Nothobranchius furzeri: one gene and its partner. The protein of the gene in region 1 purifies or fractionates together with the protein of each later gene. This does not show direct contact. Links are inferred from orthologs where the notes say so. Each region holds a gene or a part of one and is shown in the gene's direction. Other genes may lie near its edges.

The links. Proteins that work in one complex are often made in the same cells at the same time.
Region 2: the proteins of ryk (region 1) and adgra3 purify together in Homo sapiens (affinity purification with mass spectrometry; 3 studies listed by BioGRID and IntAct, with this or other methods). This does not show direct contact. The link is inferred for Nothobranchius furzeri from reciprocal best matches to the Homo sapiens genes RYK and ADGRA3.

The regions. Positions count from the first base shown.
Region 1 is NC_091756.1:60,550,183-60,553,834, forward strand, and holds part of ryk (tyrosine-protein kinase RYK), read left to right. Parts: coding exon 1-73; intron 74-163; coding exon 164-264; intron 265-3,652. UniProt on the Homo sapiens protein: May be a coreceptor along with FZD8 of Wnt proteins, such as WNT1, WNT3, WNT3A and WNT5A. Involved in neuron differentiation, axon guidance, corpus callosum establishment and neurite outgrowth.
Region 2 is NC_091742.1:70,968,410-70,972,528, reverse strand, and holds the start of adgra3 (adhesion G protein-coupled receptor A3), read left to right. Parts: upstream 1-1,307; 5' UTR 1,308-2,027; coding exon 2,028-2,218; intron 2,219-4,119. UniProt on the Homo sapiens protein: Orphan receptor that may have a role in planar cell polarity pathway.

The DNA.
Region 1 (3,652 bases):
TCATCTTTCTTGTTGCCATCATCCTGGCCATCCTCCACCTTCACAGCGTGAAGAGAGTGGAGATGGAAGACAGGTTGGACCAATTTCTTGTCTGGTTGTTCGTTTTTTTTTATTAGCTGTGAACTGCTCCTGATTCTCTCTGGTTCTGTGTGTTGTGTGTCAGTGTGAGCGACAGTGGAAGTTCACAGGGTCTGTCTCAACCATCCACACAGACCACACAGTACCTGAGGGCCGACACTCCTAACAATGCAGCTTCCGTCACCAGTAAGACTTTTTTTTATCTTCCCACTCTCACTTTTGTTAAAACCATTAAACCTGATGCTAAATCACATCTTGCAGATGCTTTTTTGAGCCTCATACATGACTGAATAATCTATTTAGGTGTATTGGTATCATAAGACTGTAAGAAGAAGCACAGCTCTTGAAGTTGCTCCGGTCCTGTGACCCGTTAAGTGTCTAGGCGATGAGTGAATGACTTCACCATGTGCTTTGCATCAGGCAGCAATTCATGTTAAATAAAGCAGTCTTCTATGCTGAAACTGGGTGGATGTGATCAACGCTAATTTGATGCAATCCTAGAAAAGGTTAGCATGTAACACAGTTATGCTTGGAGCTAAATATGAGCAACATTTCATTTTCATTTATTTATTTTATTTTGTGACATGCACATCCTCGGTCTCACCAACAAAGCAAGCCATAAACTTTAGACACTTTTGTGTCCACATCTCCAGTCACTTCAAGGAGATATTATACCGTTACCATGTACGTGTCCAAAAGGGAGTAGGGAGAAGTATAAGCAGGGTCCGAAATTAACACTCGCCAAATGCGAGTAAATTGCTCCATTTGGCGAGTAAATGTTTGCACCAAATTAGTTATGTTTATCAGTCATCTTCCATGGATCTCTGATACTCCTCCCGCTGCATGCAACGTACACAAACGTACGCGAAACGTGAGCGCAGCATCCAACGTCATTTCCACCTATCCCATTCAATCAGTTTATCAAGTTAGCAGTTAGCTTCATGTTAAAACTAGCGGTGAAATGTGGCGGTTTTTAACTGGAGTCAGCCAGCCTTCCAAAGGAAAACTCGTCGAACTGGAAGAAAAGCCACCAGGACCAGTGGCAACCAGAAGATTTTGTGAAAAGTGGCGAACTGGAGATGGCGGAGTCGTGAGACAATGGCTACATTATGATGGCCACGTAGCGTTGCTGCCTTTCACAGACAACTGTCCCTCGGCATTCTTCAAATATCCAAAAAATGCCCGTACTTCCGAATTTGTCTTCTTTGAGGGATAATAAATGTCCCGAGTGCTGCCGTCTCCTCCTGCCATTATTTCAGCTTTAGCTTAAAGAAAGTTTTGGTCGTAAACAACAAAGTGCGCATGTGCCGCCGGCAACTTCCAGATGATACGGTGGCTGGTAAGGGTCATCGCGCCTACACCGCAGCCACGGTAATCCACCGAGATAATATATATATTTTTTTTAAAAACAAGACGGTTATTATTATTGTCAACTTTTTTACCGGGGTTTACCGCTACACCGGTTACCGTGGCAACCCTAGCCCTGACACACTTTCAGATGTTCTCATGGTGCAGCTGTGTTCTCCAGAGATCAAGGACTAGGACCCAAATGAGGCTGTAATGCTTTGGCACAAAGACGGTGTCAGAAGCAGGAGGCCAGACTTCATGGACAGAGAAAACAAGGAGTCTGACTAGATTTCAATGAAAGAGTTCATAAAAACATCTCTAAAAATAAATAAATAAATAGTAAAAATGACAAAATAGTTGTTTTTCTTATTAATTGATGTTTTAATTATTTTGTCACTCTGTTTGGAATCAACATAATATAGAATTACATGCTTTAGGTAGATCTAAATCATTTAGGATTTTGACCGGTAAAAAATATGCTTGGCAGGTAGATTTTCATCATCTACCGGCCAACTTGGCCGGTGAGTAAAACATTTAATTTCGGACCCTGAGTATAAGCGTATACGATCCTACCCCGTCATTACCAGTTTGGTTTGTACACAAAATAATATAACCTTCACCACAAAGTAAAATGAATTGGAACATCATTTGCTTTTTCCTCAAGATCATTTTTAATCCTGAATGTCAGCGTTTTGGTTTTATAACCGATGTCAGGGAGTTTATCAGGGGAACTTATTGGGAACTTTTGGTGCCGTTATCCTTTCTGCAGGAGTTGTTGCCCGTCAGCCACAAAGTGCCCCCCCCCCCCCCCCCTCCAGTGTAAACAGGGTTGTTGCTAACAGAATCATGCTTCATTAGTTCACCTGCCTCTCATCAGATAACTGAGGTCACAGATCAAGTGAGAAATGAAGTTGTTTTTTTTTCCTCCTTTTTCTTGAACATCATTTGCAGCTTCAGGCTGCCCTCTGCTGGCGTTTGGATTAGTTGCAGGTGAAAGGGACTCAAATGTATTTTTTTTCTCACTCATCACTGGAAATAACTTGCTGTCAGCAGAGGTATTTTGCTTTAAAGGGCATTTTGAAGAGTGTTTCTGTGTAAATGGATTCCTGAACCACCTGTGTTCTGGGTTTTGTAGAGACTTGTGTTAAAATGTTTTATAAATCTTATCAGCTCTCCAGGCCTGCATGCCCCATGTCCCTCACTTAACAATTAGGATGAACGTGTATTAAATCTGACCTACAGATGTCCAGAAACCACGAAAACTACAAGTCCCAGTGTACACTGGAGCAGGCAGCTCCTCCGCTCAGCTGCTGTTGGAAACGAATCAAACAGCTGACAGTCTCTTGCTATTCATCTCATTTAGAGTTGTGTTCACAGCATTCAAGGACTCACCCGTCTTCACAGTTTACAAATACTGAAACTGAGAAAAACCCAATCAGAAGTAAGATGATCAGGAAGTAAGGCTCCAAATCCTTCCATCTTCAGCTCACTTCTACCTCCTGAAACGGGGGCACCGGAGCTTTTTCCCCCACAGAGATGGACTCACAAGTCATTCACTTCTGCTAGAGACCAATGCACACATGTTGGGGAAAAATGATTGAATGTGGTGTTTAGACTGTTTTATTGATGAACACCTGGGTAAAAGTTATGAAACATGTTTTTATGAATTACTGTAAATCTATCGAAGACTGGAGCCATTTTTAAAACACAGCATTATGCTTTGGAGTGGCTCGTTTGTCAGGTATAACCACTGTGGTGTCTGATTGGAAAGCGGTTACTCAAGACTTTTACACAAAATCAGATGTCCACACAGGGATCTTTGAAAGTGTGAATGTCCTTACTACCGTACTGTACTACTTGCTTAATGGCTTTCTATCATAACCTTGGTGCTACTTAATCAAACAGGTCATTCGTTATCAGTTAGTGTTAAAAATAGCTTTGTTACAACACACACACACACACACACACACACACACACACACACACACACACACACACAAATCTGGCATGCCTCACACATCAGATTATTGCTATAGATCCTAATTTACTAATGAGTAAACAACAGCAATAAATCATGTTGCATCCTGTAATGCGTCTCCATGTGAGAAGCCTGGTCTTGATGAGTCATTTGGAGATGTTCTAAATTCACAGTGACTCTTCCTGCTCTTTGCGTGTCCAGTTACCCCAGCCCAAACATCCCTATGCCTGTCCTTTTTATTTCACCCAG
Region 2 (4,119 bases), on another chromosome or scaffold:
AATTTGAGCCATGAAGGCTATTTTGTGACTATAAAGACATCAACTCGACTCTTGTCGTGATTTGGCGCTATATAAATAAACTGAATTGAATTTAACTAAATCCAATCCAATTTTTTTTGGTACTGAACCTGGTCATACAGTAATTTCCTACTTTTTTTTTTAAACTTTTTCTCACTCCTAATTCCTAACGTGATCCTTCTATTGAATTTTTATTCAACCTTTAATTTTTTATTTTACATATATTGTCTTTTATTTAGTATACGTTTTTTATCTTTTTATTTTTTATTCTTGTTGTGAATCTACGTTGCTGCTGTTACATAAAAAAATTCCTCACTGAGGGTGGGAGAATAAAGGATTAGTTTTCTTCTATTCTAAAACAAGGCATGGAGAGGTGCCTTTAAAAAAATGGGTTTTTTGTTTGCAAAGAATGCATGCCCTCTGCAGCCAGAGAGAAAATTCTGCAAAGTCAATTCCTCTCTGTGCTGGACTATGGTAACATTGTCCCCATGCATGCTTCTCTTTTACTGAACTCACTATATCATGCAGCGTTCATCACTGCACCTTGAGCTTGGTTATACAAATGTATCATAAAAGAAAAACCACAGCTCTAGTGACTAAATTTAAATCTAAATTTAAAACTTTACTTTAGTCATCTGCCTTTGAAGGATTGTTGCTTATGCTGCTCTTTCTACTGTAACTGCTCAGACTTTATATTATGGACAGCAGGAGCACAGGAGGTAGAGCGGGTTGTCCAATAATCGGGGGGTTGTAAGATTGATCCTGACTCCTGGCTGAAATTTTTGCTGTTGTGTCCTTGGGCAAGACACTTAACCTTGCCTGCTAGTGGTGCTCAGAGGGGCCGGTGGCACCAGTGCTTGGCAGCCTGGCCTCTGTCATTGTGCCTCATGCAGGGCAGCTGTGGCTACAGTATAGCTCATCACCAGTTGTGTGAATGAATGAATGATACACTGTAGTGTGACACACTGGAGACCTCTGACTCTGAAAGGCACCTTCTAAAAGTGTAGGTCATTTATCGATCGTTTTTGTATTTACTTTTCCATTAAATCTAGTTTTATTCGTGTATTTTAAATTTGATTTTAAAACAAACTGCTTTAAGGTTGTCACATTATTTAAAAATTTGAAGCTAAAAATTACAGTTTTGTTTTTGCAGTTGTCTGAAACCTAAACAGAACCCTGAATTGCCTTTTATTTTGATAGTATTCCAGTTACATTAAATAAAATCTCAGCAGTGTTATTTTGAAAGTCCACCCGGATGTGGTTGTGATCCAACTAGCTTTAATGACACAATTCAGCTTAACACCGGGGACAGGAGGACGACCACTAGAGGAGTTAACTTTAGACAAGTTTTGAGATGCTTTTAAGTACATTTTAATGACAACTACATTACAACAGTAACTATTCGGGATATAAATTCGTCGTCTTTTGTTTATTTTTCACATTTTGAAGCGTTACCGAACTAGCTAGGACATTTCTTTTGTTTTCGGGCTTTTTTGTTAAAGTAATTTCCTGCGACTGTCGGTGGATAAATGTACTCGGGTATATATTTGTTTGGTTTAGTTCGCAGTCCAAAATACAGTGGAGTTAAAGTAAGCAAGAAGACGCCAGAAGGTATTTCCTGAAGTTGGAAGCTGATAACCTGGAATGACTGCAGCCGACTCCCGTGGAAAAGACAACAACGCGACCTGGACACAAGCTAGTAGGGGCAACAAAGACTGGGAATGCTAGCTAGCAACCAAATTGAGCCTTTTAAACTAAATGTGCGTGGTTATTAAGTGTTGCTGGGTCTACGCCACACCGAGATGGAATTATAAATGAGCCCCTGGCGAAACAAATAAGGTCGGAGTGAGAGAAATGGAAGAGGAAGGATCACTTGAGCCAAACATCACACCGCTGGCAGAGATTTCCCTTTTCCATCGCTTGGAGCCCTTCCACTAACTATACCATCGGGATTGATACCACGCCGTTCTTCGTTTTTTGCAAATGCTGCAGTCGTTTTCTGTGTGAAAATGAGGACGTGCTGGCTGGTGCTGCTGCTGCTGCTGAGCGGCTCCGCGGCTCAGTCCGCCTGCAAAACATCAGACGAGCGGCCGAAAGGCAGCGGGAAAAGCCTGCCGTCCGACCGGAAAGTGGTCTGCAGCAACATGGAGCTCGAACAGGTGTTAGCCCCGGATTCCTTCCCCAACAGAACAGTCACCCTGTGAGTATTACGCGGCAGATTTCCCTCCGACCAATGTAAACAACACATTCCGGCCGGTCCTCCATAACTACAGTCGTAAACAACTACAAATAAGATGAGTAAACCCAACAGCTGCATCTGCGCGGCGTTTATAAAACAAGAAATAAAGCCTTGCAGGAGTTTAAATCCGAGAGGTCCGCTTCAGATTTATCCACTTTGACATCAATTCAAGCGATTCCCAAATAGCTACTGACCCCTTAAAGAGCAAATGACTAGGACTTATGATCTCAAGCATCACTGGTTGGACTACAGATATGGCTGAAGAGATGATTGAACAGGAGGATGTTGAAATATATATAATGTACTGCTTAGATCTATTTCTGAGTGTTGGTTTGGGTTCTTGCATGAATTGTGCTGAATAAGAATAATTTGTAGTTATGTTTTTACTCTGGGAGACCATGCCAGTACCCCAGCTTTGTGCATTGCAATCCACTTTTAGGGACCCAACTAGAGATAGACCAGATACAATGGTTGGCCAATATGTTGTGCCGATATTCACTATTATTTAGAATAGAATAGAAATGAGTGTATTAGTCCCACAGTGGGGAAATTCACTTGTTAAGGCAACACATGCACTTGGAGAAATATAAACATATAATACAGTTAAATAAACATAGGCACTAGGCTATCACCATAACCTTCAGCACTTAAAAATGAAGAAAAATAGACAATAGAGCTTCCAAGAAGAAACACTCATTTATGGAGATCTTAAGATATCTCTTTAGTAGAGCCAGTTAAAAGTTAGGCACATCCTTGTTGAGCCTAGCCTTATTCTGAAAGTTACATAAAACCAATAAAATCGAAAATTACATTCCTGCAGGGAATTCAGTGTTATAAGTTACTGGAACAAGGATTAATCTAAATAAAAGCCACATAGGTGTAGATGAAAATCCACCAGGGTGGAGCTGAACATGCAGTGAATTAAGTAAATGCTGTGATCCTGAAGTATTGTCATTAAAGTGGATAAAATAAATTATGTATCTGGTAGTTAGTCGAGTTTCACTGGGAACAACTTGGGCAAATCGTTGCAGACAAAAAATTTCAACACTTACTGCTCATTTTCACTTGGAATCACACTGAATTGCTGCTGTCTCAAAATATTTTAAAAAGATTGTTTTATTTTATTTGCAATTTAGTTCTTTTATCACTCATGTGGGCACCTTTCAGTCCTAATTAAAGCTACAATGGCAAATCTGCAGAACAAGCTAGCTAAGACATATTTTCATGCCTCTTAACGTTCTAACATAATATAGCTATAAATATTTAGTTTTCAATAAAAAAAAAACGAGTGGTGCTCATTTGTCTGAAAACCTCAGCCAATAACACGGCTCGATCTGAAACCAACGATTGGACCATCTGGTTGTCGGTCTCACCAATCCACTGCTACCAAGCCACTGCATTAGCTGCTACCACTTCAACTGTAGGTAGGGCTGCTCGATTATGGCAAAAATAATAATCACGATTATTGTGACTGAAATTGAGATCTCGATTATTTAAGACGATTTTTCAATTTATGTTGATTTTATTTGTTGTTATTCTGTCAATAAATTGCTCGGGGCATAATCAGGACAAAAATAAATAAGAAACAAGATGATCGCTAAAATAACTCCTGATTCCCAGTATAAAAAGACCAATATACTTATAGCTCATAGTTTATGACCCAAGAGCTATAGACCTTGGTTTAAAGGGACTTTACGGAGTCTTGAATTTTTATTGCCCCCTCAGACCAAAAGCGTAACGGCAGCTTCAATAGTAGGCTCGTGCATGAGGCGTGCATGCGGTACGTGCACACTCCTTAACGAAAATAACAGCTGAGACAGTCCCGTGTGTGTGTGTGTGTGTGTGTGTGTGTGTGTGTGTGT